4 linked regions of the Schizosaccharomyces pombe genome follow. Changing the gene in region 1 together with any one later gene gives a genetic interaction. Each region holds a gene or a part of one and is shown in the gene's direction. Other genes may lie near its edges.

What was found.
Region 2: of pat1 (region 1) and pka1, extra expression of one rescues a mutant of the other (dosage rescue), as found in Schizosaccharomyces pombe (2 studies listed by BioGRID).
Region 3: of pat1 (region 1) and atf1, a mutation in one rescues a mutant of the other (synthetic rescue), as found in Schizosaccharomyces pombe (2 studies listed by BioGRID).
Region 4: of pat1 (region 1) and pac2, extra expression of one rescues a mutant of the other (dosage rescue), as found in Schizosaccharomyces pombe (2 studies listed by BioGRID).

The regions. Positions count from the first base shown.
Region 1 is NC_003423.3:1,681,079-1,688,644, forward strand, and holds pat1 (serine/threonine protein kinase Ran1/Pat1), read left to right. Parts: upstream 1-1,782; coding exon 1,783-3,195; 3' UTR 3,196-3,477; downstream 3,478-7,566. Other genes in the region: protein mug124, read right to left, coding at 5,690-6,127; fructose-bisphosphate aldolase Fba1, read left to right, coding at 7,289-7,566. UniProt on the Schizosaccharomyces pombe protein: This protein is a negative regulator of both sexual conjugation and meiosis. It phosphorylates mei2. It blocks the onset of meiosis until conjugation takes place.
Region 2 is NC_003423.3:393,567-401,414, forward strand, and holds pka1 (cAMP-dependent protein kinase catalytic subunit Pka1), read left to right. Parts: upstream 1-3,425; coding exon 3,426-4,964; 3' UTR 4,965-5,391; downstream 5,392-7,848. Other genes in the region: cut4 (anaphase-promoting complex platform subcomplex scaffold subunit Apc1), read left to right, coding at 1-1,799; plg7 (1-alkyl-2-acetylglycerophosphocholine esterase), read right to left, coding at 5,802-7,118; tho4 (THO complex subunit), read right to left, coding at 7,599-7,848.
Region 3 is NC_003423.3:1,544,285-1,553,951, forward strand, and holds atf1 (Atf-CREB family transcription factor Atf1), read left to right. Parts: upstream 1-1,932; 5' UTR 1,933-2,180; exon of another isoform or gene 2,181-2,576; intron 2,577-3,035; 5' UTR 3,036-3,376; coding exon 3,377-5,077; 3' UTR 5,078-5,578; downstream 5,579-9,667. Other genes in the region: contractile ring-membrane anchor Fic1, read right to left, coding at 1-381, 435-482; plasma membrane OPT oligopeptide transmembrane transporter family Isp4, read right to left, coding at 6,150-8,507.
Region 4 is NC_003424.3:3,003,078-3,009,452, forward strand, and holds pac2 (cAMP-independent regulatory protein Pac2), read left to right. Parts: upstream 1-3,060; coding exon 3,061-3,768; downstream 3,769-6,375. Other genes in the region: RNA polymerase I termination factor, Myb family Eta2, read left to right, coding at 1-689; RNA polymerase III-inhibiting protein Maf1, read right to left, coding at 5,107-5,718, 6,083-6,181, 6,235-6,240. UniProt on the Schizosaccharomyces pombe protein: Controls the onset of sexual development, by inhibiting the expression of ste11, in a pathway that is independent of the cAMP cascade.

The DNA.
Region 1 (7,566 bases):
TCAACAATTCATCTCTGCACTTGCTCCTTTCTTCTTGGCAAGCTAGAAAAGCGTTCTTGCTTGCTGGATCCTGTGGGTGATTAACCACAATTCCAGAATTTCGATTTCAGCTTTCATATCCCCTGGTCATTAACGCGATTACTCTTACTCAGGTTGTTCGGCTGTCTACTGTGTTAAAGCAATAAAGAAAACACTACTTTTATCTGATTAGAAATCGAACCAAAATTAAAAAATTTATCTTTTATTCATTCTACACAAGTTTGGATTGTATTCTTATTTTTTTTATTTTATTTTTTTTTTAATTAAAAACTTCGAAATTCTATAAACAAACGTTGAATTGTCGAATTTGGATTTTATTTTTTCTTTAACCACCATTTTTTATTCTTACTAATATCCTCCCTTCCACCATCCTCGTTTTCTTTTACATTTGTTTTCCCTTCTTCCTCTTGGATTCTTATCATCTCCCGTGTCTAAAAGTTTCCATCTTACTCGTTTTTCTAACAAAGAAATCACTATTTCTCATCGCGACGAGCATTAGTCATATTTGAGTCGCGTTTCCTTTTCCTCTTTTTTAATTTATTATTTTTTTTTTGTTTTATTTATTTATTCTTTTTCACTTTCGTCTTTGGTTCTTGTTCGCGTCTGCTTTTCCTTTCTTTGTTCTTTCCCCTAGCCTCTTCGATTAGAGATAGATACTTCTTTCCATATCCAAACTTACTACTTCTCTGCTTTTCCCCAATGTAAATGGGAATTACCCTGAACGATTTCTTGTAAATTCCTTTGTGCTTGATGAAAATACTTTTCAAGAATTCTCTTCTCTCGGCTTTTCTTAATTACTCGATTTTTTCATTTTACATTCACAAATCCATATTGCTGTGCATACTTATTGACATTAGGTGAACTCATCTCTTTTTTCCCCAGTCCAACTCTTCCACCTAAGTCTATTGACTTACTCGCAAGCGTTGATTGTCGATTGTGTTTCCTTCTCATCCCCTCTCTTCTTTTTAAACCGAACATTCTATTCTCATTTTTACCTCAATTTGGAAAGGATATACTACTAGGTAAAAATTAATTCTACTTTTCTCCCCCATCTTTAACCGACTACTGACCTGTACATTTTCCCGATTTCTCTTACTGTTCCTTTGGAAAATCGTTGTGTGTCTTGTTTGTACGTTGATCTTTAGAGTTTCCTTTGATTATCTTGAGCATTCTTACTTTTTATTCCCTGCTTAAAATACTAATCATCATTTTTCCCGGTTTTTTATTCACATTCCCTTCTCACTTCCATTCGTTGTACTCAAAAGGACCTGTGCTTTTTAATCATAAACATTATATATTATTCGTTTTAACTCTTCCTTCCACAATTGCATTTCCCCTTTTCTTTATTAATTTTGTTTCTTGCATGTTGGTCGTTTTCTCTGTGATTGGCGTATTCGATTCTCTTTTTCATTCTTCGTTGTCGTATTTTTTACCTGCTTACAATTGAAAAAAAAATTTTTTTCTTGTAAATTCCCTTATATTATTAAACCTCAAACGATCAAGATAAAACCTATCATTGTGTTATTGACTATTTTCCTGTTTATAACGATCTTTGTTTTTTTTATCATTGATTTTAGAAGACATTAGAAAATCTAACCTTTCTCAAAGTTTTTTTTTTGTTTCGGTTGCAAAGTTCTTTAAGCTATTCAAAACTTTATCATCCGAAATACTTATTTTCTATTTTCTTATCTAATTTTCGCCATCAATTGGGACTTTATTTAATTTATCTTTACTAAACATTAGATGATGCGCGAAAATCCAGAACTCCTTTTGGGTCAGGTCTTGGGTGATTCTTTACGATTTGTTTCTATCATCGGTGCCGGTGCTTATGGTGTCGTGTACAAAGCAGAAGACATTTACGACGGTACCTTGTATGCAGTAAAGGCTTTATGTAAGGATGGCTTAAATGAAAAGCAGAAGAAGTTACAAGCTCGCGAACTTGCCTTACATGCTCGTGTTTCTTCACATCCTTATATTATTACATTGCACCGCGTGTTAGAAACGGAAGACGCCATTTATGTCGTTCTCCAGTATTGTCCGAATGGCGACCTTTTTACTTACATCACGGAGAAAAAGGTATATCAAGGGAATAGTCATTTAATTAAAACCGTTTTTTTACAGCTTATTTCTGCTGTTGAACATTGTCACTCAGTTGGCATATATCATCGAGATCTTAAACCCGAAAACATTATGGTTGGAAATGATGTAAACACCGTATACTTAGCTGATTTTGGTCTGGCTACTACAGAACCCTATTCAAGTGACTTTGGATGTGGTAGTCTGTTTTACATGTCTCCAGAATGTCAACGGGAGGTGAAAAAACTTAGTTCGCTGTCAGATATGCTACCGGTAACTCCTGAACCTATAGAATCACAATCATCCAGCTTTGCTACAGCGCCAAATGACGTCTGGGCTCTGGGAATTATATTAATTAATCTGTGTTGTAAGAGGAACCCTTGGAAGCGTGCATGTTCTCAAACTGATGGTACTTACCGTTCCTACGTTCACAATCCATCAACCCTTTTATCCATTTTACCCATCAGTAGAGAGCTCAATTCTCTACTCAATCGAATTTTTGATAGGAATCCCAAAACCCGAATCACATTACCCGAACTTTCCACGCTAGTATCAAACTGTAAGAACCTTACACGACGTTTACGACCTGCTCCCCTTGTTTCATCTCGTTATCTCGCATACCAACAACAACAACAACAGCAACAAATGAATTTGCAACAAGGAATTCAAGGTTACCCTCATCAAGGCTATATGCCGACTCAAAACATTGGCTTTCCCTGGCCTCCGACTCCCCAGTTTGTAAGTAATTGGAATCATTGTGCTACTCCAACGATCCCTGTCTCCTTACAAGTCCTTACACCAAATTCTTCACTTAAAGTAGATCCGACTACACCTCTTACAGCACCTATTCATGCAACCGAATCATTCTGGCCTTCTGCCGCAGCGGCGGCAGCAGCTGTCCATAACAATGCTAACTCATATATGCCTATTACACCCACACCCTATCCGAATAATGCAAAAATTTTCGGTTATCCTAATCAACCTCCGCTGACTCCCATACCTTTTACTGGATTCGTTTTGCATCCTGCACCAGTTGGTCGTGCTGCTGATGCCGTAGATCCATCTCGAAAATCGCTCTAAAGTTACTTGCTTCTTTTTTATATTCGCTACCGCACGTTGTTTTGTTCAGGGTTACTGCAAAACATTATAGAGGGCTTTGACTGCCCCAATAATTATTTCTCGGGATTTGAATTTTAACATTGTGTAAATAGCTAACATTTTATGCACTTGTTTTATACTTATATTTCTTCTTTTTTATATGTTTATTATGATGGTAGCATTATCTTTTTCTGTTAACAACATTGATGAATTTTTTTTGCTTGTGGTTTGTTCTTTAAAACAAAAATTTTTTTATAAATATATACTTAAAAAAAAAAAAAAGAAAAGGTAGACGAATGGATCGTTTTAACGACGGTTGTAATAGTAAATTTAAAGAGTTTAGAGCATGAAGCATGCAGTCATATTGTATCACCGCTATACTCGAAATGTTGAAGAGATAAAGCAAACTAAGCTTTTGGAATACGAAGATAGAAGGATATTATTCATAACTTGTAATAATATTGTTAAAAGTTAAAATATTAAATTAAATTTATAGATATCTTCTTGTAAATTCTAATATTACAATATTTTTACTGATATTTTTAAGCAATTATTATATCAAATATCGTTGTGTATATAGAATATTTTTTGGACAATATTTTCAAAAATAAAGATATTGTTAAGTTAAGTAAAGATATATTTTAGTAAAGGATGATAGAGAAAGAAATTAGAAAACTAGGTTTGAAGATGCAATTAAATTATAGCAATAATACAATTATAAGTTTCCTGTAAGGGGACAAATTTTACTAAACTTTGTTATTTATTATCTTTACACGAATTTCCACTGAATGTAAAGTGTATGTAGTAAACATTGTAACAAAATTCATAAATTTATATGTATATAGTTTTTTACTTTAGGTTGCATTAATAGATGATACAGTTTTTCTGTTTTAGATAACGCTATATTTTAAAAAACCAATGCTTCTAAAATTCGTTAAGCTTAGATAGGCATAGGAAAGTTGAACTAGGTCGAGAATTTTATTAGGCTGTACACAGAGGTTATCTGTGTGTTTTGTTAATAGAGTTTAACCGTTTTGGAAGCTAATTTACAAATACCGTAATGATTCTTGCAGTACACAAAAATGGCGTTTTTTTGATAGTATAAAATTTTTGGCAGTGTTTTTTACTCTAATAGGGCGTGAAGGTGCGAGTAAACAAAGAAGTGGAAAGGAAGGTCGGGACTGTAACTCACGCGAAAGAGTTGTTCTAGTAGATGGAATAGGAAGAGTTACGCTACTTTGCCACGCCAGGGGAGAAAAAGTAAATTTGGAAAGGAATAGGGAACCTTTTTCTCATAGCTTTTTGGGGTATTGTACGGAATGCATCATTACCATCATCCGTACACCACAGGAAGAGTAGCGATGGCAGGTGGCATGTTCCGGTAAGTTATGTTTGGGCGAAACCGAATGCGAGACCTTTTAGGCGAGATGAAGATGGTGAGATGGTGAAACAAAAAGGTTAATTTGCAGGGAGAAAAAAAGGTTAGACGGAGGGCTGGAAGAGGGATGTCAGCTTGAGTGAAGAGCTAACAAGAGCGGAAAAGAATAGAGAGGCAAAGGAAGAACACTATGGTTTTGTTTAGGGAATAAGAATATGAAGTTGTAGTGCATATATAGTAAAGGAATGGAAAGGAATGAGAAAGATAGAGTGGATAGATGAATGATGAATGGATGAATAGGTGAATGAAGTGGAATATGTATTTCTATAAAGAATGCTAGGAGTAAAGGAATGAAATAGAAAGGATTGGGTAAGAAAAAGTGTGTGTATGTATGAGTGTATTAGTGAATGAGATTCTGTGCAAACGAAAAAGTAGGATAATAAACTTAATGGATGGAAAATCAATTACACAAACTATGCTGTCTACTTAAAAAAATAAATAAATAAATAAAACCTACAACTCGACAAACCATGCTATCAAATATAAAAAGTCTACAGGCTGTACCACATAATGTGTTTATATATGTGTATATTGTGCTATGAGATGTACTTGTACATAGCTGTAGTTACAACTTGGATATACGTGCTATACCTATTATTTAGTAGAGCGTGCAAGTAAACATATTATACCCTAGTCTTTTAACTCTCTCTATATATTCGTTACGACGACGCTTTGTCTATATGTTATCCTCGATGTGTTACGATGTTACAAGTTACACTGCGTTATGCTACTTATCCAGCGTCTGCAGTCTTACTCTTTCTCTCTCTCTCTCCATTTCCCTCTGCTCTCCCTTTCATTTCACAAGCCCACGTTAACCTCACATAGCCCGCTTACAGTGCATTGCCCTACATCGTTATATCGATGCGTTGCGTTGCCAAAGAGGCGAGGAACAATATTCGTCAAGATTTTGCTTATCTCTAACAACAAGAGTTTATCCGTTCCAACCATTTCCCTGCGGTAATCCAATTGTTATCCGTAGCGAAGGGTTCAAGTGCCGCTGACATCAACCGAGCCCATCTAGGTAACGAGGTATATCGGTCATCGTGTCGGGGTTGCTAAATAGGAATGGTTGCCTTGCAAATCGTTACCTGACCAGAGCTGCAGCGAAAACGTAAACAAAGCGTATGTACGAAGGAAGAAATTGGATGGAAAAAATGAATCGACAAAACAAGGCAAAGCGCAACTCCAAGCAAAGTGACACATGACCGAGCATGAAAACGCAATCCAATGCAATGCCACACATACACTCAGAGATGCAATGCCACGACGATGGAATGGACAATGCAGACCAACGATTTTGAGCAGAGAAATATTAGCTTGACATGATGTGAGATGGGTGGAGATGTGGAATGGAATGGAATGAATGGATGGACATGAAATGAAATTTACCAAGTAAACAAGAGAGTTAATAATAGTAAGAATGATTTGTCTCCTAGTCTCAGCAATAGCAACACTTGACAGTGACTGCAGTCTCATACTCTTCTAGTCAAGTCTCATCCTCTTCCACTCTCTCAATTCCTTTTTATCAATGTTTCTTCCTCTTGTTATGTACACAAACGATGATCTCTTCTCTCACCTCATTGCTGGACTAATATTACTCGTGGCCAAGCGAAACACAAGTGGTACTAGATAACCAAAAAATGATAAAGCATTCAATCAATCAAACCACTTACGAAATTCATACTCCCGTAAACGAATGCCGGTCGGACGCATGGAAAATCATCAATACGTGAGAGAGCTACTTAGTTGTGCACTTTGTATATGTCCAAAAATACTTTTCATTTCACATACCTGCTTGTGTAAAGACAGTGATGAAATGCGGTGCAAAGTGTCTATTCTTACATTGATGGTAAAGCTAATTCAAGCATGCTTGGAAGAAGAATTGCCTTGCATTTCTTGATCATTTGACCCAGGCGACAACTATAAAATAAGAATACTACCGAAGATGCAGATGGGGTGTGTGGGCACAACACCATCGAACCGAACCGAGACGGCCAGACTGTGATAACAAAAGAAATGCATTAGTTTAGTTGGCTGGTTCAAGTTGGTTGAGTAGAAAAATCCATCACTCAAACTGGGAAGTAGGGATGGCTGGGAGAATGGAGAAGCGAGACGAGACGAGACAAGACAAGAGGAGATGAAATGAAATTAATGAAAAGAAATGAATAGAAATGAAATAGACATATGAATAGTATAGGGCAGGTTAGATGTTTGTATTTATAAATGTTTAATGCTTAGGTTTGTATTTATGTTTACGTTGGTAATGTTTCTTTTGTTTGTGTTTGTGCATCGGGTGAACGAGTTGGTTACCGCCGCCGCCGCTTCCTTTTGCCTTGACACACACCACGCAACGTGTTACGGTTCTTGAACGGAATTGCGTACTTCGATGCAGAGCGCTATCGGGGGGATTGGGGATGGTAAATGGAAGAAATCAAAAACTTCTTTTGACGTCAACCCCTAAAACAGGGGACGGTGATTGGTGGTAACCACGGACCGGATAGGTATCGATATGCACATCAGGTGAGAAGTTTTTCCGAGGCCAACTCCGGCTCCATGGTATATAATAGAGGGTTGCGCGCTACTGTTGCAGTATCATACTTCCAAAGGTCGTATAGAACACACACACAAATTAGCAAAATGGGAATTCTCGATATTGTACCTACTGGTGTTATTACAGGTGACAACGTTTTAAAGTTGTTCACCTACGCTCGTGAGCACGGATTCGCCATCCCTGCCATTAACGTCACCTCCTCCTCCACTGCTATTGCTGCTCTTGAGGCTGCTCGTGAGGCTCGTTCCCCCATCATCTTGCAAACCTCCAACGGTGGTGCTCACTTCTTTGCTGGTAAGGAATCCTCCAACGAGGGCCAAAAGGCCTCCATTGCCGGTTCCATCGCCGCTGCCCACTACATCCG
Region 2 (7,848 bases), 1.3 Mb from region 1:
TTATTTATCTTACTAGCAAGCATGATACAACCAGTATAGGCCTTTTACTTGGACTTGCATCCTCGTATTTGGGGAGTATGGATGCAAAGGTTACAAAATTGCTAAGTGTGCACATTTCAGCATTACTGCCAGTTGGATCTAATGAATTGAATATTTCACCATTAACTCAGACTGCAGGAATTCTAGGAATTGGTTTATTATTTCATGATTCGTGTCATAGACGCATGTCTGAAGTGACCATGGAAGAGATTTTGGCTTCTAATGAAAGCGAACTAAAGAATGAAGGCTATAAGTTAGCTGCTGGATTTTCTCTTGGTTTAATTAATTTAGGGAGAGGATCTAATCTTCCAGGCATGTCTGATTTAAAACTCGTTTCAAGGCTACAAGTGGGAATATCTAGTCAGGCTACATTTCAGTCTTTAGAAGCCGGTTCTCCCGGGGCCATTATGGCTTTGACTATGATATATATGAAGACTAATGATTTGGAAGTTGCGAAAAAAATTGATATTCCTAAATCGCGATATCTTCTTGATTTCTATCGTCCAGATCTAATACTTTTGCGAGTTGCCGGTAAAAACTTAATTATGTGGGATGAAGTCAAAGCAGATTATGAATGGGTGAAATATCAAATTCCTGATATAATGCTCTCACAATTTGATTTACAGGAAAAAAAGGTTCTCTCTTCTGACGACTTGCTGCTTTATAATGTCTTAGCAGGGATTTGTTTTTCTTTAGGTTTAAGGTTTGCTGGAACGGGTAATCCGAAAGCCAAGGAAATTCTCATCAACTTTTTAGATAGCTTCATTCGGTTGTGTCATCTGCCTGCTAAAACACACGATGAAAGAGTAACTGCAGTGACTGTAATTCGCTGTACACAAATTGTCGCTTTGTCTTCTTCTTGTGTTATGGCGGGTTATTGTGATCTAGATGTTTTGAGAAGGTTAAGAGTACTACATGGGAGAATGGAGCCTGTGAACTACGGGGCTCAAATGGCTACTCATATGGCGCTCGGAATTCTTTCGCTAGGTGGAGGAAGGTATAGTTTGTCTCGCAGTAATTTAGCAATCGCGGCTTTGTTAATATCATTTTATCCGCAATTTCCCAGGACTACTCAAGATAATCGTGCACATTTGCAAGCTGCTCGAAATTTGTGGGCTTTAGCTGTGGAAGAACGTTGTATTATCCCGAGAAATCAAGATACCAAACAGCCATGCATAGTGCCATTAAATGTTGTTCAAAAAAGCGGCGCAGTTCAAAAACTAGAAGCGCCTATACTTTTGCCGCCGTACGATAGCATTAGTTCAGTGTCGACGTTGGGTGATAAGTATTGGAATTTAAAAATTGATTTGGACAATAACAGTGATTACCGTGAACTATTAAGGGAATCACAAACACTGACACTGATGCCTTATGACCGAACAAGTTCAAAAGAAGAGCCACTTAATCTATTCCCTAAGCTTAAAGATACCTCAAGCCCACTTTGGAACTTGGTAAAAACAAGCAGGTTGTTCCAAAGCTCGAATAGCCCCTTAAACGTTGCATCGTTACAAGAATCAAATAATAAAACTTCTCTAGGCGTTAAATTACTCCTGTCTATGGACTTTGATAATTTAACTAGAGACCGTTTATTAAGTTTGCAAATACTGTTACAATTTTTTGAGTCTTGTTGGACTGGTGTGCTCTTGAATAAGTTTCACTCCCGTCAATATCTTTTCCTTTCTCGTGATTTGGTAGAAGATTTGAGTTTGAGAGTATGGGAGTATGTGTATTCTCATAATCATAATGAAGAATCTGTATAATTATGAACTACGTTTATTAATTATATGATATGCTAATGGGCTGAATGGTTTCCAAAAATCTTTTCCATCATATCAATCCTTCAAAAGGAAAATTGAAGTTTAAAAAAATAGAACCCCTTAAAATTAACGACTTGTATAAATACCTTAATGTCTCAATTAATATACAAGGTGGCATATCCAATGCAACACTTTTTTCACGATCATGATTAATAGCTATCTTCAAATAATGGTTTGTTAAAAGGAAATCGAAGTTAATAATAAATTGTTAATTGGAATACTGATGCTCAAACTATTTCACTGGGCAAAGTAAAAAGAATATTATTGCGACAACTACTAAGCACCCATGGTTCTTCAAGGGGTAATACCGCCTGTCTCAAGGCGCCGTTGAAAATAGATTAGCTTTTTTATCCTTTTTCTATATCTTTTCCCTCCTTTCGTTAATTAATTGATTTAAGCATGACACTTCGAGCTACTAACTAACACTATATCGTTGTATGCTGTTTACATAAGTTCTTGATGTTCGAATCTATGACTTTCGAGTAACGGTTCCAAATATTATAATTTAATGAATTACACCCGATAATTAATACACTGTATTAAACCATCTAAATCCACCTGACGAATTCAATCTTAAAATTTAAATAGAAGTCTTTAAATCCGACATGCACTGAGATGCTGAAGTTTTGTAACGATCTACATTAAATTCCCCTATTATAATTTACGTACGATTATTCGCCTCATTAAAAATTCCTTCGTTTTTGAGGGGTAGTAAGGGCATGACTTCAACCTTGCATCCTATGACACAACACTTCTTTCGTTAGCAAAACACAAATTGAAGCTTGCGAACGCATAGGAAGTGTGAATAGCTCGTTTCTCGAAAGCCGCTAATTCTACAAAAGCTTTCTGTATCAAAAAGACTTGTAGTTTTACTTAATACACCTTTGGTTCTGCGCTAAGAGTGAAAGGCTCAGTATTGTTGTGAAAACCGTGAATCTGTAACGTCGGTTTATGTTAATTTGTATTTTTGAACGCTTGCTATAACTATTGTTATCTATTTTTGTCTGCTATAGATTATCTTTGAAGGACTCAGAGTCGATTTAGCTTATCTTCTTATTTTTTGTCTCAGGTGTATCGAATTATCGTTCGTGTTCATTTGTACTTTTGGAATAACAGTTTGTTAGACATTAAGTTGCTTCCAATTTTACTTTGAAGGATTTCGTTTGCCCGGATTGATTGAGCAAACGAGTATTATTTGTCTTTATTCTTGTTGGGTTTTTACTTGTGTTGAGCGACTGGAATTTCACTTAAAATAGTTTCTTTTCTGCCGCTGTCCTCTTTATTTTAATAAATTATTTAGAGGAAGTAAATTTCGCTCTTTCTATCTACGCTGATTCTTTATTTATTTTTGCTTCGCTATAATAAGCAGCGCACCAAAAAAGAACTCTAAGATTACTGCTATTGTTGCGGTTTATATACATATATTCGAAGGTTGTTCAAAGGTAACGACCTTTTTGCCTCGACCTCTTTTAACCTTATTCTTGTTTTCGGGTACTTTATAAGTTTGACGAACGATTAGTGAATTTTAATTATCTTTTCGTGTATAAACGCTATTTCACATTTGTACTCATGGATACGACTGCCGTTGCTTCCAAAGGAAGTACTAACGTGGGTTCTTCAACTGACACTCTATCTACAAGTGCCTCTTTGCATCCATCTATGAATGCCGGCAGCGTTAATGAATATTCGGAACAGCAGCGACATGGAACAAATTCTTTTAATGGCAAACCCTCTGTTCATGATTCTGTTGGTAGTGATGCAAGTGTAAGCAATGGTCATAATAACCATAATGAATCAAGTCTGTGGACTTCGGGCATCCCTAAAGCTTTGGAAGAGGCCACGAAAAGCAAAAAACCCGACAGCTTGGTTAGCACCAGTACGTCTGGCTGTGCAAGTGCCCATTCTGTTGGTTACCAAAACATCGATAATTTGATCCCTTCACCTCTTCCTGAAAGCGCGAGTAGAAGTAGTAGCCAAAGCAGCCATCAAAGACATTCGCGGGACGGTCGTGGTGAACTAGGTTCAGAACACGGAGAGAGACGGTCAGCTATGGATGGGCTACGCGATCGCCATATTCGTAAAGTTCGGGTTAGTCAGCTGCTCGATTTACAGCGTCGAAGGATTCGTCCTGCTGACCACACCACAAAAGATCGATATGGAATACAAGATTTCAATTTCTTACAAACATTGGGCACTGGCTCGTTTGGTCGAGTTCATCTCGTTCAGTCGAATCACAATCGCCTGTATTACGCCATCAAGGTTTTAGAAAAGAAAAAAATCGTTGATATGAAGCAAATAGAGCACACTTGCGATGAGAGATACATTTTATCCCGTGTCCAACACCCGTTCATTACCATTCTATGGGGTACTTTCCAAGATGCCAAAAATCTGTTTATGGTCATGGATTTTGCTGAAGGAGGAGAGCTTTTTTCTTTGCTTCGTAAATGTCATCGATTTCCCGAAAAAGTTGCCAAATTTTATGCAGCAGAAGTGATCCTTGCTCTTGATTATCTTCACCACAATCAAATCGTATATCGAGATTTAAAACCCGAAAATCTTCTTCTTGACCGGTTTGGTCATTTGAAAATTGTGGACTTTGGTTTTGCCAAACGCGTCTCTACTAGCAACTGTTGTACTCTTTGTGGTACCCCCGATTATTTAGCCCCGGAAATCATATCTTTAAAACCGTACAACAAAGCTGCAGATTGGTGGTCCCTTGGTATTCTTATCTTTGAAATGCTTGCGGGTTATCCTCCATTTTACTCTGAGAATCCAATGAAGTTGTATGAGAATATCCTTGAAGGCAAGGTCAACTATCCATCGTACTTTTCTCCTGCTAGTATTGATTTGTTGAGCCATTTACTTCAGCGAGACATAACCTGCCGCTATGGAAATTTGAAAGATGGTAGCATGGATATTATTATGCACCCTTGGTTCCGTGATATCAGCTGGGACAAGATCCTTACTCGGAAAATTGAGGTTCCGTATGTTCCTCCCATTCAAGCTGGAATGGGTGATTCCAGTCAATTTGACGCTTATGCTGATGTAGCTACGGATTATGGAACATCTGAAGATCCTGAATTTACTTCTATCTTTAAGGACTTTTGATGTTTTGTGCCACGTTTGTTTTGTTTTAAGATACTCGAATGCTTATTGATTCATTGTACTATTGCCTTAAAGCGTTGAGCAACGAATGCCTATTTGATTTAGTGCAATGCAAGTGACGTTTGTAGCACTGATTTTGCAATTCACCAATATTGGCTTCAGTTTTTTGTGCTGGTGTAATGGACCGACTTTATGTTTGGATGGGATATGATGATCTCAGTTGAAGCTATTTATTTTGATGTTTTTCCAGGCAATTAGCCTGCTCTGATGTATTTCCACTCCATTTTATTTATATATTCTGTTTTTTTATGGTTATGTTAAACCCCAAGTCATTTCTTCTTCATGTTGAACAGACAAAAGAGCATTGTTTGTTGAAACTGTGCAACAACTAGATACATATATCCGCTAATAATCATTGAATTTCCTTGTATCTATAATTAATGGTGGTTTCATTCGTAATTGGTTGGTAAATTATTTTGTTGAATAAATAATAATGTAAAATGATAAAAGAATCTATCAGTATATAAGACATATTACAAATTATAAATATTAGTCTAAATTTTTCAAAATCACACACTTAGCGTAAATGTTCGTCCTTAATCATCGCGGTCCTAAGCACAGGCTCCCAAAAAGTAATAGTTACCATATTCAATCCACATTAACAGGTAAGCTTTCGAAAATCTTCTTTATAAGCTATAAGAAATTTGTGCCAAACAGTTAACTCATTAGCATGACAGTCAATAAATATTATAATTAGCATCGGCGATAGATAAAAAGACAAGAAAAGTCAAAAGAGTTTTGTTTTTAAGAGTTTTTAGCTCTTTGTAAAAGTGGTAAATACTACATAATTCTTTCCCACCCAGGAATAATATTTGTTTGCAACGACGAAGGATCATTATCTCCCTGAACATTTTCAACATGATTTTCACGAAGGAATTGTACAGATGAACGAGTATTAATGCGTAAAGCTTCATAAGGGTCTGCTTCAAATTTTCCTTTCAATACCCTTAGTACCATGCGAGGGAGCAAAATCGGTAAATCGCTTTGGTTAGCATGTACTGTTCCATCATAAACAAACACGTGGGAATATTTTTTTAAAGGAACGACAGACATTTTCTCATCAGCGGATTCGCCTGCGTTTTGGTTTTCTGAATCCTTGTTTACAAGCCAACTTTCGAGAGCTTGAAAATTGTCGACAAACCGACGAAATTCGTAAGATATAATCATGAGCGTAGGATACCTCATCGTACTCAAATGGAGCTGGCGTACGGGAAGCATCCATATATCGTATAAAATGGAGCACTTAAACTCAGTGTGAAACATATAGTCATTATATAAGGACTTGGTAGAAGAACCGGAAATGAATGCGCAAGTAGCGGCACCAAAAGAATGACCAGCAACAATCAATTCTCCTTGAGCGGTATTCAAATTACCCTTCATGGATTGGAAAACAGAATTATAAAAAGAAGAGTCCACAGAGCAAAGAAAGGGTAAGTTTTCGTCCGGAGTTCCAAGGTCATTGATATTTCGAATCATCTGGAGGGCTATTTGGATTTCCTGCTGTCGAAATAAAAGTCGTTCATTCTGAAGCACAACCGTAGCGTCTGCATAAAAGTCGCTTATCTCGCGATACTGAACAACGTACGGGGGTTCTTCAGGATGTAATGGATCACGCACTGTAGATATGATGGCCGAGTTATCTCTATGCTCCATGGCCAAGACGACGATACCATAGGAAGCGATTGTACCACATAACGAAGAATACACATTTCTCGAGCCAACCAATCCATGGCTGAAGATAAATACTGGCAGTTTCCCATTGTTCGGTGGATGAAACAACTCTCCTTTGTAGACGGGCAAAGCTAAGTTGGTCAAACCAGAAGCGAACGCACGAAGAAGCCACCAACGAAAACCTTTCGCAACTTCGGGTATACCCTCATGGAATGGTAACCAAAGCTCATCGGTGCGAGGCTCTACATCTTTTGTTGGGTCCAATGGATAAAAAATGCGTACTTTTACGGTTCTTAGTTTGTGTTCAATGGTTTTATATTCACATCGAAATTCCTCTGGAACACTCAGCTCTAAGACTAAAGACCCCACAGGCAAGGGACCACAGTAGGCAGGTAATTGCTTTTTCGAAGAAAATCCCAATCCCATTTCTACCTAACAAATAAGAATGTAATGTAGAAATATATAAATTTATTTTATTTTAAAGAATGAAAGATTGTGTCAAAAACGATTCAATCAAATTACAAGAGCACAGTGATGATGTATTGTTAATTGCTATGATCACTGTAGTAGGAATAGAATGGAATAATGCCAGAAACAAAAACAAAATATCTCTTTCGTTAACAAGCACTTATAAACATAAATAAAAAAAATAAAATTAATAAATTTTTGGCCTTGCAAGGTAATATGAATCTGTCTGCTGCAAATTTTAATTTTTGGTACGATTCGTACGATTGTGGTAGAAGAAGGAAGACGATGGAAATTGACGAGCATCTATATATAAAGTAAGGGGTTATGATGAAAGATGTCCTTTTAGCCGGTTCGTTTTTATAATGTACAAATCAAAGCAATTGACTCAATAATCAACTTTTGGCATAGGAAAAGGGTTACTTGCACAGCAATTCGAGCTTAAACCGCTTCCATTTGGAGGTCCATCTCCTCGGTCAAATTACTATCTTTTGAAGGAGCAACAGGCTCGTTTTTCTCATGAGCATTGGCTATTGACGGTGTGAAATCCTGTGATGAGTGAGATGACACAGTTGAAGCAGCGTGAAATGACATTGCGTATTCGTCAAGTTCTTTGTCTAAATCTTCGTGTGAAATTGAATTATTAGAAGACTTTTTTGAAGAAGAACGAAATGATCTGTCGTCTTTTTTT
Region 3 (9,667 bases), 140 kb from region 1:
TTGTAAAACTGGCTTAGAAGAAGCACGGTCAAAGTATAGAGGATCAGTGGGGATAAACTTGAATTGCACAGATAGCTCGCCAGCAAATTGGAACTCATTTTTTAGTTCATACCATTCACTTTGTAACTCTTCTTTCATCGCTTTCTCAAAAGACAATACAGTATCACCAATCAAGTGTGGATGCTTTCGAAATCCCTCGTGAAAAACGGTTATTTTCATAATATGATAAGATTCACTGGGAATGTTAAACTCCAGTACCGCATTCCACGATGGTTCTTGACCGCTTCTCTTATCCGTTTGCGTACGTTTTACCACCTCACCAACTCTGCAAACGCAGTAAGGGCTTTGTTTGCCCACTAGAGCCTTGTTTGGTAAATTTTTCTAAAGAAGACACGTTAGTTTTACAAAACAAATCTTCATCTTTTAAGACTTACAGCTTTCCATATTCGGACAACCAACGTTCCAAGAGGATTCTTTGACATATGGTAGATGGAGAAACGGGTTATAAACAAAAAAGCTACTTTATACAATTCGAGTGCGGATTTTAAGCAGTGCAGCGCAACTTCTGTAGGAGGGGGCTGGTTTGTCTCCGATAACGGGGGTTAGCTTTCGTTCATTCATTTAACGTAGCTTACTGCAATTTAAAATGCTTTAACGGAAATTTGTGTACGCTACGATATTGATGGCTCCAGTTAGGAAATTCGTGAAGAAAGATGCCGTGTTAAAAAAAATTAAAAATTAACAAAAAAAAAAAAAAAAAAAGAGAGACGAAAGTTATCGCAAACAAAAAGAACTTTATTAATATAACTAATTGCATTAATGATTGACTCAGTACACACCACACAAATATATTCACTTAATTTTAATTGTTTTAAAATGAGTGTAAAATATCTATTGGTATAACCAATTCCATCACAATTGCTAATTGAATGGAATGATTTGCATAAAATGTTTCTAACTTAATTTTTTTATTCTTTTATGTTTCACGAATACAAATTTATTTTGTTTTTAAAAAACTTCATTTTCTTTGCTTATCTTTTGGGTAGTTTTCGGATCCGTAATCCCAACAAAATGCCAACCCGTATTGACTAATAAGTTCCCGAAAATGTAAGCAAAAGATTTCATTGTAAAACAAATGAATTAGCTATTAAAACTGTTATTTAAATGTTGTAAGGGTTGGTATGTTATATATACAATCTAAGTCTATGTAAAGACTTTTTGAAAGATCCTACTGTACAGAATTCTCCATAATTGAATTCGTGACAAGTACTCATAATATTTGAAACTTGTATATTATTTCTGCGTATAACCTATCTTTATTTTTATTTTAATTTTATTTTTTACTTTATTTTATTTTATTTTATTTTATTTTTTCGTAGGTCTTCTGGAACTGCTGGATCTATTCATACATTGCTAATTACTCAGCGTACGTACACATCTTACAAACACGCAGAAGTCCAACCTAAAACACTTACCTACATACAACATAATATCAGAAATACACGCAACGATTTAGCTTCATCAAAGATATATTATTTATTCATTCATCGGTTAATATAAAATAAGCTTGAGTTAAGAGTGAAATAAGATTCATGGCACTATACACAAACTCACCATTTTTACTACATATTGCTAACATCATATTTGCTTAAAAAGCACGCACTCCATGATATACCAATAACATCCTACTTTCCGTCCATCCTTTCCCATTCCCCAAACTATCGATACGTTTCTTAACGATACGATAACACAAAATACAAAACTACACAGCAGTACTTTAAGTATCGTCTTGCTCGGTTTATTCCAGACCCATTTCCTTGTTACCCTTCTTCAGAGCCCCGCACGTGATTGGTTAAGTTCAATCATGCAAAGTGATGCAATGACGTCATCTGTTTGAAACAGGTGGAAGTGTGGCACTAGGAATTTACAACTTACCCTTTACTTACAACATAAGAAGAAAGAAACTACTTAGGAAATTGCTAAAAAGTTTACTTTGAGCACTTTTTGAACGATTGAATTGACGAAAACCATTTTTCTGTTTGTAAATTTCAGTTTGGACAGTTGACCGAGTCTTTTCATCATTTATACAGTAGTCATCGCTTAGTTGGATCTGAATTACGAATTCTCTGGTTCATGACGACGACCTGCTACTAGTACGTTTGGTTGATTAAGTCAAATAGGTATGTGTTTATACATGCAATTGTGAAGTTTGATTATGTAAAAGGCTGTAAAATTGGAAGAGCGTGATAAAAACGTGACGGGTTGTGTTGAAAACCGAATTTTTATGAAAATTTGAAAATTTGCTCCTATCGTCATTGACCCTACTAAACATGACGAGTATGACGCTTTCTTATCAATAACACTGATCGTTATGGGGTTGTTAGTTTACAGGAAACGTAAAATGTGTTTGGAATTCCTTCGTTTTTTGAGGGTTTGGAAATTTTTTTTTGGTGTTGTTGTGCTAGAAAATTTTACTTGTTACCATTGTAGGTTACTATTGCCTTGACTGAACTGGGATCTATGTGGTGGCAACTTTTGATGAATGATTTCTCGGAAGTGAATAAACGCACACGGGAAGAGAACAAGAGTAGAAAGGAAGCTAGAAGAGCGGAAAACCCGTTTTGTCTCGTTTTTGGCAAAAAAATTTCCAAAAAAGAAAAACGGGTGTTTTAGCAGGTGTATTTGCTGTTGAAGTACGAATCTCTTTATTACTCTACGCTTGACTGTACTCTCTCACATTAAGTTCTGAAACTCATTCAAAAAAGGCCTCCACATTCATATAATCCAAATCAACACACCCTAACAAAAACGATCGAACGAAGAAAAGGAAAAGAACAAAGAGTAGGAACATCCCTTTTATCTTTTGTAATTCTTTATTAGTTTCTTTGTTATTTTATTTGGACATGTTCTTTTACAAACTTGACTATTACCTTTGCGAGTTTTTTTTTACCCTTTGTAGAATATCTTCCTTCACAATCTTGCATATCTAGTCTTCTAGCTTTGCCTGTACAGACATCTAACTAATTCTCGTCTAGAGCCTCCGTCGCGGTTTTCCCTTTTTTTTTCGAGAAAGTTGTATTTTTATCTCCTTAATCTCCTCCTCCTTTTTTTTTCTTTTCTTTTTTATTGAAACAATATAGTTTCTATTTTTTCTGCTTTATCAGCCGTTATTACTTCTGTCTTGTCAAATTTGGAAAGCCATTAATTTCTTGTAGTTGTTTTTTTATTTAGTTTTGACAAAACTATTTTCGATCTTCTCTTTAAACGGGTTCATCTATATATCTAAATTATTTATTTTCGTTATTTAAGCGTGTGTGATTTTTAACGTCATCTCTTAATACATTTTGTCAAGTGTTAAAGCATAAATTCTTCAATTATGTCCCCGTCTCCCGTCAATACTTCCACAGAACCAGCATCTGTTGCCGCTGTTTCAAATGGTAATGCTACTGCTTCCAGTACTCAGGTTCCGGAAAACAATCAATCTGATTCATTTGCACCACCAAGCAACAATTCTCAGCAGAATCAACAGTCTTCAACTATCGCTCCTAATGGAGGGGCCGGATCTGTCGCTAATGCGAATCCAGCTGACCAATCCGATGGTGTAACTCCGTCTTTCGTAGGCTCCTTGAAGCTGGATTACGAACCCAACCCCTTTGAGCATTCATTTGGCTCTACCGCTTCGGTTGGACAAGGAAATCCTTCTCTTAATCGTAATCCTAGCCTTAGTAACATTCCTTCAGGTGTGCCTCCTGCGTTTGCGCGAACTCTCTTACCTCCTGTTTCTTCCATAGCATCACCTGATATCTTAAGTGGAGCTCCAGGTATTGCCTCGCCGTTGGGCTATCCTGCTTGGTCTGCTTTTACTCGTGGTACAATGCATAATCCCCTTTCTCCTGCTATTTATGATGCTACTCTTCGTCCTGACTACCTAAACAATCCTTCAGATGCATCTGCAGCAGCTAGATTTTCTAGTGGAACTGGATTTACTCCTGGTGTTAATGAACCCTTCCGATCTCTTTTAACCCCTACTGGAGCTGGATTTCCCGCTCCTTCACCTGGTACTGCCAATTTATTAGGGTTTCATACGTTTGATTCTCAATTTCCTGATCAATATCGTTTTACCCCAAGGGATGGTAAACCGCCTGTTGTAAATGGGACGAATGGTGACCAGTCTGATTATTTCGGTGCCAATGCTGCGGTTCATGGGTTATGCTTACTCTCCCAGGTTCCCGATCAGCAGCAAAAGCTTCAGCAACCCATCTCCTCTGAAAACGATCAAGCAGCATCCACCACTGCCAACAACCTCCTGAAGCAAACTCAGCAACAGACTTTCCCCGACTCTATCCGGCCATCTTTTACTCAAAATACTAACCCCCAAGCTGTTACAGGTACAATGAACCCTCAAGCATCTCGTACTCAGCAACAGCCTATGTACTTTATGGGGTCGCAACAATTTAACGGCATGCCATCTGTTTACGGCGATACAGTTAATCCTGCCGACCCTTCATTAACATTACGCCAAACCACGGACTTTTCCGGACAAAATGCCGAGAATGGATCCACAAATCTACCGCAAAAAACTTCTAATTCTGATATGCCAACGGCAAATTCGATGCCGGTCAAACTCGAAAATGGTACTGACTATTCCACTTCGCAAGAGCCTTCTAGTAATGCCAATAATCAATCCTCACCCACTTCTTCCATTAATGGTAAGGCTTCTAGTGAATCTGCCAACGGCACTTCGTATAGCAAAGGTTCATCTCGCCGGAATTCCAAAAACGAAACTGATGAAGAGAAACGTAAAAGCTTCCTGGAACGCAATCGACAAGCTGCTCTTAAATGTAGACAGCGTAAAAAACAATGGCTTTCTAATCTTCAAGCGAAGGTTGAATTTTATGGTAATGAAAATGAAATTTTAAGTGCACAAGTCAGTGCATTACGTGAGGAAATTGTGAGTTTGAAGACCTTATTGATTGCTCATAAAGACTGCCCAGTGGCCAAGAGTAATTCGGCTGCTGTTGCAACAAGTGTCATCGGAAGCGGTGATCTTGCTCAAAGAATCAATTTAGGGTACTAGACTGTTTTTGATCTGAAAAGGTCTCAGTCTGTGATGGTTGTAATGAAGAATAACGTTTTTACTTCCCTTTGACTTTCCCTCCGTTGAGGGTTGTAACGCCCTTTTCCATGCATTTAGCTATGTTATGGATGTGAAATTATATATGTTTATTTTACATTAAAAAATCTTTAGGCTTCTCTTTTTATATTTCTTCCCGTTTTCCATTACTGTTTTAATTTTGCACTGAACGCCGTCCCGCATGCATACTTTTAGTACTTTATGAAGTGATAAAATTTGTCTGTCGTGTCTAGTTCACTATAATATCGTTTGGACAACAAAAACTACACGCTTTCTTAATGTTTACCATTCATCACATGTGGCAGAGTTATAGAATACTACTTATAACTCATTCTTATGAGATTGATTTGATTTAATAATTAAAACTATATTATTTAGTAAGAATCAGCAGTGTTTTTAATAACAACTGATTACTGTTTTCCTTTAATGTAAGAAATCAACAAGTCTTAGTGTATTGTGGGAGTATTAATATCGTGAACAGTATATAAATCAAGTTAATGAATAGGTTTGTCATCGGTCATTTACATATCTATTATCATACGAACATGCATTCATAAGATGAAATCAAGTTAAAATTTGCACCTTCACAATATTTACTTTACTTAGTGAGTGTTTGTCGCTACATTGAGGATGTATACAAAAAGTGAAAATGAAATTACTGATGTTCACATTACAAAACGTATATAAAAATGCAAACGTTTGTTTCAATTTAGAACGAACTATTCAATTCTAACAACAATTAATAAAAAATAACAAATTAGAAAGCTTAATAAACATGAGATAAACTTGTTGAACGATTGATTAAACACAAATCTAATCATGCAACGTAAAAAAAAATAGACAACAATCAATCATCCAAAAATATATATTGCATAGATGTTGAATATTCAAACACTAAAAGAAAGTGTAGACATAATTAATTCACGAAGCTTTAGTATACAAATCAATGCTTATAATTTTTATCATTTGTTAAAAGATGGAAAAAAAAAACAAAGAAAAAAATACAGCATTGATTTTACCATTCGGCGGGACCAAAGAATTCACCTGCTGACTCATTGACGAGTTTCCTAACAGCGGCACCTGTAGCATCCAGCGTATTAAAGGCACCATCATTACCCCACCAATCTGGGAAATTAACCATAGGCAACTGTAAGCAAAAGAAAAGTATAATGACCGACAACTGCGTACCAGTATCAAGAGCAGCAGAAAGCGTGAAATTGTATTTCTGCCACCAGTCTGCGAATATCTTCTTCAGATAATAATTGAAGAACAGACCAATTCCAGACCAAGCCAGATAGTTTACAGGAGTAGCTGGGGGAATATAACCAGTACCTCCAAAAATTAGCGGGCCATTCAATTGACCCCACCATTTTTGAGGCCATTTCTTCCATAGAGCCCAGAACAAAATTGTACCCAGCACGCCAGCGAGCCAGAAGTACTGCAATCCCGTATAGGTGTTTTTTCCAGAAAACATTCTCTTGGGACCAATTACACCCCAAATAACGGAAGAATTAAAAAAGACAGTTGCATTAGGACAAGTGTAATTATCAGGTTGATCGGCCTGGCAAACATTATCAATATTACCCAAAGCCCAATCCAATACGCCGATCTGAACAAAGCAAGACCATATGGTGGCAATCATTTGGGTGTAAAACATGATTCTGGGAGGAAGCTTCATGTAATGACCAAACTTCAGATCGGCAGCGAAAGCCAATCCCTGAGTCATTGTAATATAACCGACAGTCTTGAAAATCATCATGGCCAAAGGACGACCAGGATACATATAACCAACGATAAACTCGGTGAATACATTCAAGCCTAGCTGGATGTTGGTTATAGCTTGAACGATGCCAATTGGAATGAACCATACAGCAGAGAAAATGACACCGACAATGATAACCCACCAAGGGGTTTCCGTTTTCCAACCATAAATAGTACCCATCATCATGCCGAAAAAGGCCAAGAAAACACTCAAATACCAATAGAAGGGAACTTCATCATAGGCTTTCATGAGTTTTTCATGGATATCAGGTGCGGGTGGATCGCGTAACCTGTCGTAGATCTCTTTTCCATGGTATAGGATCACGTGGAAAATGACAGAAGTGATGGAAGCGAAGGAAAGGCCAAATGCCAAAGCGTAGGTGGTGGACATGAAAATGGGAGAATAGTTTTGATAGGCATCCAAATCAAACGTAGCATCCTTGGTGAGGATGCGAGTAACGTTATAGCTATTACCAAAGTGATCGATAATACCAGAACTACTGATCGGTAGGTAATCACCATACCACGTGTTGGTAAAGTTAAGGGCTGGAGTGACGATCCAAAAGAATAGAATGACGCCCAAAAGAATGTTCATCAAAGCATCGGCAGGAGCCATGAGGGGGGAAAGAATGTATGCGGAAATTTGATTCCAATCAAAAGTCATGGGAAGGATGGAGATTCCGGTGGATTCACCAAAGATTTGATTTACAGTTGGACTATTAGGACGAATCCAAGTGACCCAAGCAAATAGGGAAAGGGCTTGGAAAATGTAGGAAGGGAACCAATTCCAAATGAATGAAGCAATAAAAACGTACAAAAAGAAACGGAAGGGGGAAATTCTCCAGCCATTGGCAACGGCGTTTCGTAAGTCTTTGCGATGTAAAGTCTTGATCAAGGTGCATTGAACGAGATTCACAGGCCACAACATACTAGCAGGACGGACCAAAAGTCTTCTGGATAAACCAGCCAATCCGTATCCGATAAGTTGAGTGGCCAAAGTCAAACAGATTTCGTAGCCAAAGCCGAAGCGCTGTTTGTAGTGTACACGTTGGGCGAGGATGATATCGGTGGAGTAGGCATTACCAAACGATACACTCGACATAACGACGATGAGAGCATGTTCTTTAACGTTAAAGGGACCAGGCTTAAAATTAAACTTTAAACGTCCAATGCGAAATTCGCGATCGGGGAAAATCAAGTCCCAAATCTGTAATGCTGGGTATGCGAGAAGCTCGGAAATCAAAACACTCAAAGTGACGGTTGGGTTTCGAAGGGAAAAGAACATGTTGACGGCGGCACCAACGGTGGAATAGATGAGACCAATGGTCCACATGCGAATGGTGTTGCATGGCATACTTGGATCATCGGTAGGAGGGACGGCGGCACGAACCTCTGGATAAGGAGAGTCTTCCTCAAACTCGTCAACCGTACTAATTTCACCATGTTCGACATCGAGAAAGGACTTTGTGTCTTTCTTGATGTCTTTGGATAAACTGTCATCGGAATGGCTAACGATGTAATCAGAGATGTCGACGGAGTCGGCCTTTTCCTTTGTAGAGGGGGAGTCATTCATATGCTCCTCGATGGGAGACTCATTGATGGAACCGATCATTATGGGAAGAAGGGAGGAGAATCAAGAGAGAGAGAGAGAGAGAGAGAGAAAAAAAAAAAGTCAAACTTGATTCACCAAAAAAATAAAAAGAAACAAACCAAAAATGGTTGAGAGAGAGAAATACTAGAAAAAGTTTTTGCTTAGTTTTCGAAAGAGAGGAAACAAGATTTTCCAAATAGAATTGACGAGAGACGAAACGAAAATGATGTATTTATGAAACGAAACGAAACGAACAGTGCGATACGATAAAGAAATCACAAAAAAATCACTACGAAACTTCACGGTGATTGAAGAAACGAGCAATGGATGGGATTTGGAAAAAGAGCAAAGTGTTTAATACTTCTTCATCAATAAAATTCGTGAAGGAAGAAAAACACCTTTATGTTTTTATGGAATCAACGTCCACGTATGTAGAGATAAAAATGTATACAAGATGGTTTTTATAGACTGTACAAAAATAGTATAGTCTAGAATAGAATAGTATAGTATAGTATAGTAAAGTAGAGTAGAGTATAGTCTAGTACAGCAACAATAACAATTTAGTTTTTGTTTTTTCTTTAACTTTCCTTTTCTTTTTATGTTACAATGGTTTCCAAACTTTTAGTATCTTGGAGCGGGCGGGGGGATTTAGCTGCCGAAAAACGTGCAAACAATAATCGATGTTAATTTGTTCAACTTTTATTTTGAGTTGACACATGGAGGGATTTTCACCTCTATATATAAAAGGGAAAAAAGGTGCGGCATTTGATTTTTTCCACTCGTAATCAATTCATTGCTCTTTCTTCCTTCCATGATAACCAACCCTTTCGCTCATTGTGTGTGAAATATGAATCAGAGATAAAGTCCTTATTACATAAATGGGATGCAGGAGATGACCAGTCAGTTCTATTCTATCTTGATAAAAGTCGTACTGTTGTCATGAAGGGGTCAGGGGCGGCAAAGCTTGACGATGGAGAGAGAGGAAGAAAGCACAATCGACAAAGTAGAACTGATAAGCAAAGCAAAGCAGAATTGACAAAGCAAAACGGAATTGAAAAAAGCACAGATGATGAGGATTCAAAGGGATGTAAAGCTGAAGAAAAGAAAAGAAAAAAAAAAGAAAAGGAAAAAAAAGAGGATTTGTTTATATTTTCATAATTTTGATTCAATTGATGTGTGTG
Region 4 (6,375 bases), on another chromosome or scaffold:
TAGTTGAACAAGAGGGAACGCGGTGGAACAGCATAGCGAACAAACTGGGAACGTCACCTGCCGCGTGCATGAGTCAATGGAGGTTTGTTGTAGGTACTAGTACTCAGGAAACAATTGATCGGCGCAAATTATGGACGAATGAAGAGGAAGCAAAGCTATTAGACTTGGTAAAGTCTTCTTACCGGTCGTCTTTTCACACAAAAAAAATGACAAGCCTTTTCACACACAATAATCACACTACTTCAAACATACAACGGGAAATACCGGCATCTGATTCCATTGCATGGCATAGCATATCGAAGAAGCTTGGGACTAAGTCGCCGGAAAGCTGTCGAAAACAGTACGAAAAAACAATCGCATCTTATTCTTCTAACCAACGTCAAGAGGAGGATCAAGGGAAGAAAAGGAAGAAGAGAAAAAAGAAGAAATCAAAGGGTAAACGCAAATTTTACGTCGCGGATAGTTTAAAACTACTAGAACATGTACAAAGGCAATGCGGAGAAGCAATCTCCATAAATGCCATTGATTGGAAAGGCATTGTCAAGCAAATGCCAAAATGGTCCGAGGAGGAATTGAGAGCGCAAGCCACAAATTTGGTAGCGAGTGTTCGCGGCTGGAAAAAGACACGTTTAAGTGAGAGTGTGAGAATCGCAATTACAGATTTGAAAAGTCTTCCTCCTGACGTATAATAACAAATATTGCAGACGAAACGTTAATAAGTGCGCAAGAAAAAATAGTCAAAAAATATCTTTTTTGCTGGTATGTCACGTTTGCCCAGGTCATATTGAATGTTTTTCTTGGCTGTCTCAATTTTCCCACACAATATAATGATATTTCTCATCTCTTTTTGCGACAGGGGCGAAAATAGTTGGACTGCACTTCAAGAGCAACCGAACCCGTCTACCTGCAAAACGTACCTACACAAGAATTCTGCAGCATTAAAGTTTATATGGCAGAGCAATGGAGAAGAAGAGTGAGTCACCTGGTTCCTCTCCACATACTGGATACTGTTGATTTAGGTTCATTTGCGAACCCATCAATCATTTTACTTCTCGACATACTGTTGCCAATCTAAATTACTTTCTTTTCATACTTGTTCCAATTGCTGGTTACCTGATATCCTCTCTCGTCTACCTTAATCCGATTAAGTGCGATGTATTTGCAACATGCACGTGTGCATTGTAACCAGCCTCATTCCGAGCCTTTCCGCTTATTTATTTATTAAATTTTTAATGTATATTCGTTATTTAATTAATATCTAAGCATGGATCGTATGGTTACTAACTTATTTCTTACTTCATCCCTGATAATGACGGATAATAGATGCAAAAATGAATGGTTTGGTGGTGGCCAACGAAACAATCGACACTGCTACGGCTCTACTAAAACAAGTCACGTTCAACGGTTCATCGGCTAATATTAACTCAAAAAAAAAAAAGAATAAAATAAGTATAGTTCGGGGTCCGAGATTTCTTTGATAGTCCCTTGGACATTCTATTTTAGCATTTCAACTAACAACTGAAAGGGCCGGAAAATCTTTGAAATTTTTAAATCTGTTTAACTCATCCCAAAGTAATTGAGTGTCGGAAAAGAAATGGCCCGAACGGTTTTATGAACCGGTCCCTACTAAAGAATAACAAAATTCAAATATTGGAAAGGCAGGTTTTGGTTTTGAACGCAGTTGTTGGATTGAAAATATATTCCATTGTACTTTGTACTTGATAATCAAAGTAATCTTGTTGTTGATCATTAAAGGCGTATCAACAGTGTTGGGGAAAAAGTTTACCTTGAATCTTATCTAGCAGCGGAAACTAAATAATTATATTTATTAAATTGTTAGACCAGCCTAAAACTATCGGGATTAGCGTTGGGTAAGGGATTTACGGAATATTTACCGTATTAGGTTTTTTTTGAGTTTTAAAAATTTAACTCGCTAACATAACCGAAGCCTCGCACATATAAACTATCTTTCAACCTACTTGACTCAACTTTTCCTTCACCAACCGCAGTGTTGCATTAAGCAGCAAAACGTTGTCACCTTCGAATAGCGTCTTTTTGACGAATAAAAAGGTTGGACAACAAAATTAAATTAAGCAAATTTGTGTATAAACTAACAGCAAGTGAAGTTGTACCGGTTGTATGATTGAAGCATTGTAAACCAAAGAACAGCTACTTTGCCTTGTCGTACATTAGCTTTTTCCTTTGCAAAGAACTTTTAGGGACCTTTTTTTACCACAACTAGAGAACCGGTGTAGAAAGGTGTTCTATTTTAGTGAACGGATTCGTTTAATTTTTTCATTGAGAAAAAAATTTGATCTATCTTGATTTTTTCGACTGTTTCCATTTTTAACTATTTGTGACGTTTCTTATTGCCAAATTTCAACCTTGAGCATTGTTAAAAAAGCTGAATTTAAATTTCTTTGCTTTTAACATACAAGTGAGCTATTGGGTTTGTAAAGATTTAATACTTGATTGGAAGTTTTTTTGGTCAAGTCTGTTTTTTTTGGGTGTTTTTTTGACGATCAGTTGAAACCGCGAATAATAATATTTATTATAACTCCCTAAAAAAAGAAAGAAAATCATTTATTAAATAATTTTTACTTTCCTTCATTGTTTCTGAATTTTGCTTCTCCCTGCCGTTTAATTGTTTCATTTTCTTTTAGAAAGTACTAAAAGGTAATCAAATCGGCTAGTCTTGCAACTGAATTTTCTTTGAAGATAATATCTAGATTTAATTTTTCCCTGCTTGAATTTCCTAAGATCTTGCGTTCGTTCGGACTGAATTGCATAATTTATTGAAGGTCTCCATTCCTGTATACTTACTCGACTACCCATTTATCGGTCAAGCTGTATATATACACGCACAGTCAACTTATCTTCTACTTATATTTATAAAACTATTTATTTTATTTCTCTTTAATCCGAGCTTCGTTAGTTGATTCTTTTGATCTTTGCATTGGTAACTAATCCAGTGCGCTTTTTTTTTTGAATCTTCGTGACAGCTATTTTCTGATTTTACTTCATCTTCAAACTACGATCTGATCGGCTTTGCCTTTCGTCATGCAAACTTATACAGGTATCATTAAGACCCCGTTGGATGCGATTATCCTTTTCGAGGCCTGTCGAATTGGTCTTCTTCCACGCGTCCAGCGTCGATTGTCCGACCATGAAAGAAGCTTGATACGAGCAGGCAGTGTTTTTGTGTGGGATGAACGGGAAGCTGGAATGCGCCGTTGGACTGATGGTAAATCATGGAGTGCTTCTCGTGTCAGCGGTTCATTCTTAACCTACCGAGAAATGGAGGGTAAACGTAAACCTTACCATCACGGTCTTTCCACCGATGGTTCCCTTAAACGCTCTCCCTCTGCAGATACGACTGGTAATAGTTCCCTAAATGCTTACAGCAATGAGGACAGTGGAGCCGCGAGCTTGAGTGATGAAGAGTCGGTTGATGATGAGAACCTACGGGGGTTGCATTACAAACCGAACGGCTTAATTAAGCAGTCCTTTAGTATTACTACCTCCTTAAATCATAAACTTCACCTTATTTCCTATTCTTCGCCTATCCCTGATCCTTCATTAGTCACGCCAAGTAGTGATGTTAACCTTTCACGTATCACTATTCCATATGGACTGTATCCAGACGCGGGTCCACCGCTTGTTCAAGCACCAAAGTTTCTCGCTCCTTATGATATTCTTGTCGAGAAAGTTGCCTGTAGCGAAGACGCGCGCGTTTTGGATAAGTTGCGTCAAGCCCTATGGCTATAGGTTTGATCTTTTTCTTCACATTGGGTCCTACTTCTCGGTTAAAAAGTGTACTAAATTTACTATAGATTTCATTTGCATCATATATGGGGCTTTAACGACTCCCAATCAATCCTAGTTTCCTGTGACATTTTCTCGGCTGCGTTTTCGCTCTTACTAATCTGCGGCTTTGTCTATCAGCGTCTAATTTATGTGGTTGATCAATTTTAATTTCAAGTTACCACTTCATTCTTCAGCACTTACGGCAAGTGATAAAAACAGAAAGCTTGTTTTGATTTAATTCATTAACTAAGTAATCGCTCAACTGTCTTGCAAATACGTTTTCTGTTCGTCGGTTTAGATGTGTATCGTTATCATAACTCTTTAGACATTTCGCTTTACGCATTATTTTGTTTCGTCTGCGAATATCGGAAATGTCCTTTTTAAAGAATCTTTTGTGGTTATTTCATCAATGCTTCCTTTTTTCTCTTTATTATTTATTTCTTTTCATGATGGAAATGGTTAAGTAAACGTCTATCATGAAGCACGGTAGAACAAGTATTCAACATTTGAATTATGCACTCAACATTTCTATTTTTTACTACTCAACTTAGAGCTCATGTTCGGGTAAAATGATAGGAAAGCATCAATTCTTAGGGTAATTTGAATTCCTTAAATACAACTACTATGAAATTAATTCTTTATCTTTTAAGTAAATGCATAGCTTTTATTTGTTGTAAATGAAGTATTTTCAAAGAAAAGGTAATTTTTAAATTGAATAACTGAATACATCATTATGCTATGTCAAGATGATGCTTAATAAGGCTTCAAATATTCGGGAACTTGATGTGAACGTTTAAAGATAGTTAGGCTCAGATGATTAATGAGGACAGATTAAAAAATTTTCCTCTAAGGTCAAATTGCATGTACAAACCTATGAAACAGTTGTTGGAAATTTTTTAATCTATTATGTATAAACACGTGTGTTGCAAGAGAGTAGAAACCGTAGTACAGTCTGGAAAATCTTAACGTACAAATCACATGTGAAAAAATAGGTTCCTTAAAGGATAAAAAACAAAAAACAAGAAGTACCTAAAATGCTGGGGGCATATTTTTTTTTTCAAAAATGCAAAAAAGAAAGGGTTGCTATAAATAATTTGAAATAAACTAATTAACAGGGAGATATTAAAGAAAGGTGAGGTTTCATGTATTTACAATTAGAAAAAACAAGAAAATTTCGAAAAGTCATGATTCTGAAATAATAAAATGAGCACGGTGCAATTTAGTTTGCGAGTTGAACAAAATGTAAAGAGAGAAAAAGAGAAAGTAGCAGAAACCATTACTTCCCAAATAACCAAAAAATTAATCATCCATGTTAGCAACCCAATCGTCATCAAAATCGCTTGGCTCTGCATCGTCCGCAAGTGGTGTAAACACAGAATCATCGTCATTTCCATAACGATTCCGACCCGAGACTTCCTTGCCCAAACCATGAAGTGATAAATAAAGCATGCGCTTCATATTTTTGTTAAAAAAAAAGTAGGACATCCCCCATATTAAAGCATCATCGCCGTAAGGATCGCTGTCGCTATCTGGAGTATAGGAATAAACGCTGCAATCAGACAGGTTGATATGACGGTCGATAATTTCCCAAATTCCATTCACACTCAATCTACCACGACCAATGTTATTAAGTGTAGAATTAACGGAATCTACAACACGAGATAGTGAAGGCTCTTTGTAAAAATCTGTTGGTTGGAGGCTACTAAAATCATGATCGGGATAAGAGGCATTAAGAGTAGCGACAATGTACATAAAGGTACGACGAGAAGAGGACTGATCAAGAGGCCCAAATGGACTTTGCTGAGTTAGGCTGAAAGCATATTCCGGTGATTTACTACTCGATAATGCAAATAGATCCTCCTGACACCGATTCTCTATAGCTTTAAAGAGTTTCTTGTCAGAATTTGTACTCTATAAAATTGTTAGCACATTTTATATATCAGTATATTCATGTCTTGGTAAGTTAATAAAGCAGAATGCTCCCGAATCTAAAAACAGACACTCAGACGCGGTACTCCATTTGGTAAACAACAATCGTAATCATTTTGGTTTCAGATTTGAAACGTAAAGAAACTAAATAAATAATCACAAAAAAAAACAATGATTATATAATTAGCTGATCTTGTACAAGAGACCAAAAAGAACCAAAATTGTTCAACTTAGTGATTTGACCACGCAAGAAAAGAGGATCATTATTAAAAGCATATGTCAAATTCAAGAACCAATGTACAATTTTCCCTTTACCAGACTAACCAAGCTTACAAGTTAAATTTACCTTGGTTGTATAGAGCTCGCACTTTCCGCGTATGCGACAATCATCGGCATCAAATGATAAGGCATTATTGACTGTATCTAAATCGGCAAGCTCAAGAAACTGGTCACAAAAACAGGGTTTAGTAAGACAAATAAAAAGTAAAATATATTTACCTTCATAGTAATTGTAATGTAATCAATTCAATTGTTTCCTTTCATTAAAAAGAGGTTTGCTGTGGTTAGGTATCAGCGTCGCGTCCAACGTCAATGTCACTTCTATTAAGGGTACGTTAATCTTAAATAACAGACTATAAG